Sus scrofa: one gene and its partner. The protein of the gene in region 2 interacts with the protein of the main gene of each other region in a pairwise test. Links are inferred from orthologs where the notes say so. Each region holds a gene or a part of one and is shown on either strand. Other genes may lie near its edges.

What was found.
Region 1: the proteins of AGR2 (region 2) and FABP2 interact in binary tests that used the Homo sapiens proteins (3 or more experiments, as listed by UniProt). The two-hybrid records come from large-scale screens. The link is inferred for Sus scrofa from reciprocal best matches to the Homo sapiens genes AGR2 and FABP2.

The regions. Positions count from the first base shown.
Region 1 is NC_010450.4:104,463,132-104,467,444, reverse strand, and holds the start of FABP2 (fatty acid-binding protein, intestinal), read right to left. Parts: upstream 3,104-4,313; 5' UTR 3,067-3,103; coding exon 3,000-3,066; intron 1,511-2,999; coding exon 1,338-1,510; intron 113-1,337; coding exon 5-112; intron 1-4. UniProt on the Homo sapiens protein: FABPs are thought to play a role in the intracellular transport of long-chain fatty acids and their acyl-CoA esters. FABP2 is probably involved in triglyceride-rich lipoprotein synthesis.
Region 2 is NC_010451.4:86,050,770-86,055,054, forward strand, and holds the start of AGR2 (anterior gradient protein 2 homolog precursor), read right to left. Parts: upstream 3,064-4,285; 5' UTR 3,026-3,063; intron 163-3,025; 5' UTR 156-162; coding exon 17-155; intron 1-16. UniProt on the Homo sapiens protein: Required for MUC2 post-transcriptional synthesis and secretion. May play a role in the production of mucus by intestinal cells. Proto-oncogene that may play a role in cell migration, cell differentiation and cell growth. Promotes cell adhesion.

The DNA of each region.
Region 1 (4,313 bases), on a different chromosome or scaffold from region 2:
TCACCTGGACCATTTCATCCCCGATAATTTCTCGGACAGTATTTAACTCTTTTCCATTATCCACTCGTTGAAATTTTCCAACAAGTTTATTTCCCTCTAAGTTCCAATTCCCCTATGTAAAATAAAAAATAATAATAGTAAATAGCATTTTTTAGGGTCTTAAATGTATGAGACACTGCTCTGAGTTCTACAGATTTATATCTTCAAAATTATGAAGTAAATATCTCCATTTCACAGATCAGAAAACTGAGATGCCATAATTTACCTCAAGCCACAAAGCCAGGGTTGAACCTAGGCTGTTGGGCTCTAGAGTTTGTGCTGGTAACCATCATGCTCATCCCACTCAATAGTTTGCAAATGCTGAATTTTAAGGCAGATCATCAGAGCTTCTAAATCTTTCACGTTGAGTAGTGTTCTAAATTTAATGATGGTTCATATTAGTTTCATGGAAAAGCTAAAAGAGCTTGTGCTTGTTTTAATTCATGTACGTGTCGTAGTAATTAAAATATAAGCGTGGGAGTCCCCTCTTTGGTGCAGTGAGTTAAGGATCTGCCATTGTCTCTACAGCAACATGGGTTCAAACCCTGGCCTGGCGCAGTAGGTTAAGGATCTGGCATTGCCACAGCTGAGGCATAGGTTACAGCTGTGGCGCAAAATCAGTCCCTGACCCAGAAACTTACATGTGCTGCGGGTACAGTCAAAAAATGAGAAAAGTAAACCAAAGTGAAGTAAAATAAAATACAACATAACTGATAAAATATTTGGCAATTAATTATCATTGCAAACATGTATAATTTAACTAGAAAAATTCTAAGGGCAAAATTTTTTAAAAAATCAGTTGAAAAATGTGACTCTGTAAAATTTCATATTTAAAATATTAAAGGGTGTATTCCCAGTGACTTACATTGTAGCAGTAGACCTTTCTGTTTGATCATTCATTCACTAATTTGTTCATTTATTTTGTTACTTCAGTTACATTAATTAAATGTCTCTTATGTTCAAGTCAGATTACTCTAAAAGCTTTTGTTGCTCTCAGGTATGTAACATTGAAAACACCAAGCTTTAGTTTTCTCTGTGAATAGGTATACACTCAGTCATTCAAAAGATATTTTTCTAATTCTTATTGTTTAATCCAGGTTCTTTGCAGAACTGTGTGAAAATCAAAACATTATGTTTAAACACTCTGCTAACTTGTATGATATGGATAAGCTCCATTGGCTGCTTCAGTAAATGAAGGAGAGCTACATTGATTAAACCATCCAATAACAGAAAGCAGAGGATGTTTTAGTGCTGTGTAGAAAAATCAGGACTACATTGCTTATATAAAAATTTCTTACAGTGAGTTCAGTTCCGTCTGCGAGGCTGTAGTTAAAAGTGACACCAAGCTCAAAAACAATTTCAATGTTTCGAAAAGTGCTTGATTCTTTGACTGTGAATTTATTTCCTTCTTGTGTAATTATCAGTTTCAAATTGTCATGAGCTGCAAGTTTCCTCTTTACCACGTTAATACCTGCAAAGGGAAAGAGTTTGGAAGAAATAAAGTCAGAATACTATAAAAAGTGCTTATCTTTCAAAGTTCTATTTTAATTAGTTAATTAAAATAATTAATATTTTGAGGGTGGAGAAGAAAACCTGATGTAGCATTGTCTGTGCATAAGAGCATTCAGATTGCTTCTGTAGAAGTTCAAGCTTGATCAGATCAAATGGTTTTTCTAAAACTTAAGAAAGATTAAATGATGCATAAAATTGTAGAATCTTAGAACTGAGCAGTTTTTTAAAAACTATCAAGATTTTTATTTCAGTGTTAAGTAAAACAAATCCCAGGAATGTCAAGTCAAGGATTTTCAAAGTATATTTACATATTTATAAGAGTACATTTAATTCCTCATGTATGGTTCTTTTCTTTTCTTTTTTTAAATTCTTCTTTGCTTTACATAATGGCTTTAAAATTTTGAACTTCATAATTCTCTTTGGTTTTTTGCGGCATTTCTGACAGTCACCAAAAAGAAAATTAGCAAATATTACAGTCAAATTCATTATTGTGAGAATGTACATATTCCATTAATTGAAACTTGAAATGCCTAAACTATAGGATATAATTGATGCAAATTTTTATTTTTAGGTAATAACTTTTTTTTTTTTTGCCCGTGGACTGCCAAAGTATTGATATAGATAGATAGTAAAATCCATTAAATCAAAACTTCATAGAAACCACATTGTATCATGAGATTATTCCAAAAGTTTACTAAGTCAGAGGAAAAGAGATTGGGTCATTTAAGTCATTAAGTCATAGAACTCTTTTTTGTTGCTTTATGATATGGTCTTTGCTTTTCCATCCCCTAGAATTCAGTGTTTTAAAGTATGGAAGTTATCATTACCTACTGCCATATTTTACTTTCTAAACAAACAAACAAAAAAACCTGTCAACTTTCAGGAGTTCCCGTCGTGGCGCAGTGGTTAACGAATCCGACTAGGAACCATGAGGTTGCGGGTTCAGTCCCTGCCCTTGCTCAGTGGGTTAACGATCCGGCGTTGCCGTGAGCTGTGGTGTAGGTTGCAGACGCGGCTCGGATCCCATGTTGCTGTGGCTCTGGCGTAGGCCGGTGGCTACAGCTCCGATTCAGCCCCTAGCCTGGGAACCTCCATATGCTGCGGGAGCGGCCCAAGAAATAGCAACAACAACAACAACAAAAAGACAAAAGACAAAAAAAAAAAAAAAAAAAAAAAAAAAAACCTGTCAACTTTCAATAATCAGTTAACATGAATGAAACTTACCTGGATGTTTTTTGTGTTTCAGAGAACAGCATGCAAGAGTCTTTTCTTCCACTAATGAGACAGTGTATTCTTTCTAATATAAGAAGTAAAAATACGGTTTCCCTACTCTGAACTGTACCGCCACAACAGGCACTATTCCCTAAGCTTTGAGGTTTAGAAGGTGTTAGAGAGAGAAATGTCTGTGAGAAACAAAAGGGCAAGCCATTAAAGTATTAAGCCCTTACCCATTTTTTCCATGAACTTGTCATAGTTCTCATTGCGGTCTATCTTCCAGGCACCATCAAATGCCATAGTCTCCAGCTGATTCAGCCTCTAGGCAATCAGAGATTCAGGTCTGTCCTTAGGAGAGAATTTATTCTATTTCTTATCTTAGAACCAAATTCATACCATGATGTGGAAGTTTAAAGTTCAAGAGATCACTTAACTACACTAATGCCAAACCATTCTAGTTTCTCTAGTTTCTATAAATTCCTTAGGTCTTCTCCTGAAATTCAGCTGCATTGAAGGATGATAAGCATACCTACTCTGTCTTAAACTACAATTTGTTGTCACATTTATTTTAAGACTTAGAATGCATACTGTCTAAATACAATTTTTCTGCTTACATGTTCAAAGTGCACACTGTGTTGAATGTGACATAATTTAGAACATATATCAGATAACATCCGGGAAATGAGACTATTAATGACCTATCCCTTTTTTTACAATAGCAATTTCCTTGTAAAGTAGGACTTTATGACCAAATACAGCTTAAAAGTTAAGGTTAATGTGATATTAAGGCGGCAAAGTTATGGGGGGTTTTGTGTGAGTGTGTGTGCGATTTTTTTTTTATATAATTTTTTTTTTCCCACTGTACAGCAAGGGAGTCAGGTTATCCTTACATGTATACATTACAATTACATTTTTCCCCCACCCTTTCTTCTGTTGCAACATGAGTATCTAGACAAAGTTCTCAATGCTATTCAGCAGGATCTCCTTGTATATCTGTTCTAAGTTGTGTCTGATAAGCCCAAGCTCCCGATCCCTCCCACTCCCTCCCCCTCCCATCAGGCAGCCACAAGTCTCTTCTCCAAGTCCATGATTTTCTTTTCTGAGGAGATGTTCATTTGTGCTGGATATTAGATTCCAGTTATAAGTGATATCATATGGTATTGGTCTTTGTCTTTCTGGCTCATTTCACTCAGTATGAGATTCTCTAGTTCCATCCATGTTGCTGTAAATGGCATTATGTCATTCTTTTTTATGGCTGAGTAGGATTCCATTGTGTATATATACCACCTCTTCCGAATCCAATCATCTGTTGATGGACATTTGGGTTGTTTCCACGTCCTGGCTCTTGTGAATAGTGCTGCAATGAACATACGGGTGCACGTGTCTCTTTTAAGTAGAGTTTTGTCTGGATAGATGCCCAAGTGTGGGATTGCGGGGTCATATGGAAGTTCTATGTATAGATTTCTAAGGTATCTCCAAACTGTTCTCCATAGTGGCTGTACCAGCTTACATTCCCACCAACAGTGCAGGAGGGTTCCCTTTTCTCC
Region 2 (4,285 bases):
AGAAGCTGACTCCTACCTCTGGAGAGAGTCTGGGGCAGTTTGGGTTGAGAGTCCTTTGTGTCCTTCTTAGCTCCTGGTTTGACTGTGGTGTCTTTGGCCAGAGTATAAGAGAGGGCCACAAGCAGCAAGAATGCTGATAAGGAAATCTTCTCCATGGCAAATCTGATATGAAAGACAAAAAAGCAAAAAGTCAGTAAAACTGAATTAGTAGTCTTCAAAATCTTCAGATTGCATCACAACCAGGGGATGTAATAGGTAGGAGGTGAGGCTTAGATGGGATTGAACACTTACAATTGAATGAAAAACTACCTTCCATAGACATTTCCTAAGATTATACAGTATGAATGCCTATCTATTTATCTGTCTGCCTCTATTTAGATGTAGATCCAGATAGATAAAATATACTGATGAAGATATCCATAGAAATCTACAATATAGGAGTTCCCCTCATGTCTCAGCAGTAAACGAACCTGACTAGTATCCATGAGGATATGGATTTGATCCCTGGCCTCACTCAGTGGGTTAAGGATTCTGAATTGCTGTGGCTGTGTCATAGGCTGACAGCTGTACCTACAATATGACCCCTAGCCTGGGAACTTTCATATGCTGCATGAGCAGCCCTAGAAAGCCAAAAAAAAAAAAAAAAAAAAAAAAAGTATAGAAATAGATTCAGATATATTTTAAGGAAATAAGATATATATATATTTTTATAGCTAAGGGGATTTGCTTTTAAATTTTATATTTAAAAAATTTTTGTGGTGGAATGGATCTTAGGGGTTGCCTCTCCTTTTCTCCCATCTCCCCAGTGCCTCATTTCATAGGTGAAGAATCTGAAATTCAGAGAAATTAAGACTAATGAGATGGGCATAGAAGCAAAGTTTTTGCACCTTATCACTTTGTGGTGCTGGCTCCCATCTTTTCATCCTGAAAAAAATTACCCTAGATGTACATTTTGTTAACATGAGGACATTGCCATTGAAAAATAAGGTCTGAGTAAAATGATTTTTTTCATTTGAAAACTGCCAACTTTCAGCTAGAGACTTGCAGTCACACAACGCTCTCCCTAGTGTAACATTTACTCAGACTCTATATATTGGTTCTGAATTGGTTAAAATACATCGGTGCAAATTTCTTCCAGTGAGCTGATTCTTTGACTCTCAGTGTGAGCCTGTATAATAGGCCCACAAAAATATATGGCCCACACAGAGAAACCAACCCCATGGATGCCTCTTTGTTAATTGTTTTTCCTTTCCAGTATTCCAAAGTTAATTCTCTCGAATGTTACACTACCGCAAAGCAGATTCTTATAAGCAGGAAAGTGGAGGGGAAGGTATGATCCATGAGTATGTGAGGGAGTGAGCTAGCCAGCAAAGTGACTTGCACTAGCAAATCACTAAGGTTATCCAGGGACCATAACATGTAAAGCTGGAGGCTTGGGATGCTAGCAAAGCCAAAGACTGAAACTGGTTAAAAAGAAACACCCCACTCTAATACTGGTGTTGGTTTGAAATAAATATATTTTGCAAAGGAATCAAGATGGACTACTATAAAATTCTTGGTCTTTTTGAGGTGTAAATTTTTTTTCTCATCTTCTGATGGCTTGAGTGGGAACTTTTGCTAAGCATTATCCAATATTAAAAAAAGGCATTGCCAAGTTACCAAATCTAGATGATGTCTTGTATTAAACTGACTGATTATTATCTATGTTGTACTATGTAGCCACACAATGTCTCACTCAAAAATGATATAAGCAAAAATAGAGATATACTTTCTTCATCTTCTATACACTTAAAGATGCAGACATGCCAATAACAATTTTCATATCCAGCATTTTGGATAAAAAACTTAAATGTGATATAAGTCAACAATGCTCAGCCTTCTTAGTACAAAGACTTCTTTTTAATATAAGCAACAACAATAACAAAACTCAAGAACCTTTATATGAGAATAATTACTTTTGGGATATTTGCTGAGTCAGAAAAATATCATGGCAAATAATGACTTTAAATTTATTAACAGATATTTGATTTTGTATTTGATTTATAGCAATGTATATTAGAAAAAATAACAGTGAGCAGTGATGTATTCATTTAGTCCATTGACAATTCTCATTGTGCAAGTGGCATTAGAAACCCTTGCTATAGCTCTGAAGCTGTCTGATTGGAACTATTGCTATCTGATGTGTATTTTACGCCAGGATGACTCAAAGAAGCTGAAATCACTCCTGTTGTATAAACATCCTGCTCTGAGCTGACTGAGATTCACTGTACCAGGTTTTCATTACATGAATAGATGCTGCTCTGCAAATTGCCTGCCTAAACCACCCCAAAACAGAAGACATGGTAAGACACTGATAATTTGGAGACACACACACACATACACACACACTGAAACCAGCACTTTTTACTGGTCCCTGTATCTTTGTCTTCTCGACTTTAGCAAGGAATGACTTGCAGGAGGTTCTGTGTTCCTGTTCATAAATGCTCCAGGAAAGCAACCAGATCTCTCCTTTTACAGCCTATCCCAAAATTTAAAGATTGAAGAAGCAACAAGGATATCTTTATATCAGGTAGAGAAAGGAAACTGCTGATTTGCAGTAATATTCTGAACTGCGGTTCCAAGCAACCAATCTGAGCTGAGGTTTTACAGTTCTGTGGGTCTTGGTTTTAGCCAGTGGGACCGAAGCAGAGCATTTGATGGTGATCAAGGCCCAGTGACCAAGACAGAAGACCCAGGGTTCTGTGCCAGGCTTGAAAACTCCCAGAGTTTGCTCACTTTAAAACCTCTGTTTCCTCAGGGAGAAACCATTACCCCTGAATCTGCTCAGAAACAGAGCTCTGCTAAAGAGAGGCCCCAGGAAACCTTTGTTGGAAATTCCATTATTTCCTCCCCAAATTCAATTTCACTGCCCTTGGGACTACCCTGCATTCCTCTGCCTGTTGATTGCCTGCAACTTTATACAGTAACCAGAAGCCAGCACTCACTCTAACAAGTGCCCTTCTAATACTGCTGTCAGGAGCCTTACCTGAGTTTCCCCACCCACCTGTCTGTGTGAGCCGGCAGCGATGCGGTCCAAGCTTCCTAGTGTGCTGGCTCAGCCCAAGCCTCTATTTATGCACCTGAGCGCACCTCAGTCCCACCCACTAATCCCGTATTCACAGGTTGCAAACCCCCAAAAGGAACTTTTCTTTTCCCAAGTCCCCCGTAGGCTAAAGAGTTCTTGTTTTTTAAAAATAACACTGCAAAGGGGTTGCCTTTCAGTATGCATGTTTTTAACTGTTTGTGAAAGTATATTGTTAAGAGATTTGGAAAAGATGGGCAGAATGCCAAATCCAGGTAAGCTTTAAGTGAAGACATTTGATTTGCCTGAAGGTTGATTTGTCTTTATGTGATTGGATGGAGTTTGTGGTTTGTAGAATTTTTTTTTCTCCCTCTTGGGCAGATAGCCTCTATTTAGTTGAAAATGCACAAGAGATGATTCACAGTTCTAACTCTTACCGTCATATGAGCTGCTGTCCTCCATTAGAGTATAAATTATTTTACACAATGTACTTCCTCTCCTTGGCAAACAAAATGTACACTCACTATACGTATGAAAAAATACAAACCAAGCCTTCACATAGTATTTTAAAACTAGGGCAGTTATTGAAAAAAAAATCCTAATACTATGAGTTTTTATTAATGACCTTGCAGCCATTTCCCTCCAAAGAATTCTAGGATATTTCATAGATCTTCTCTCATTTAATAGCATACTTTCCTGCCAAGCATGCAGGAAGCCATTTATACCATTTTCAGACCTAGAAACTAAGGTCTGCAACTACTTTTTCTCATTCAATATTATGTAATTATTCACTCAACATTTTAAAGCTGAACTCAAATTTTCTGTAAAAAATTTTAGTTGTGTGGTTCTCTTGTGGTGCAGTGGGTTTAGGATCCAGTGTTGTCACTGCAGCGGCTTGGGTCACTGCTGTGGCACAGGTCCTATCCCTGGCCCAGGAACTTTGACATGTCACAGGCACAGCCAAAAAGCTTTTTTTTTTTTTTTTAGTCTTTCTTGTGTTTTCTTCATGAAACTGTGTGTAACCTTTCAAAGTTCAGAATGGAGAAATCTTCAACAACAGAAAATTAATTAATGGGATGCAAGCCCTACAAAAATAACTTTTAAAAGAAATTAGGATTGTAATATTTCAAAACATTTTCAAGTCTGTAAACTTTTTTTTTTTTTTTTTTTTGTCTTTTTAGGGCCGTACCTATGGCATATGGAGTTTCCCAGGCTAGGGGTCGA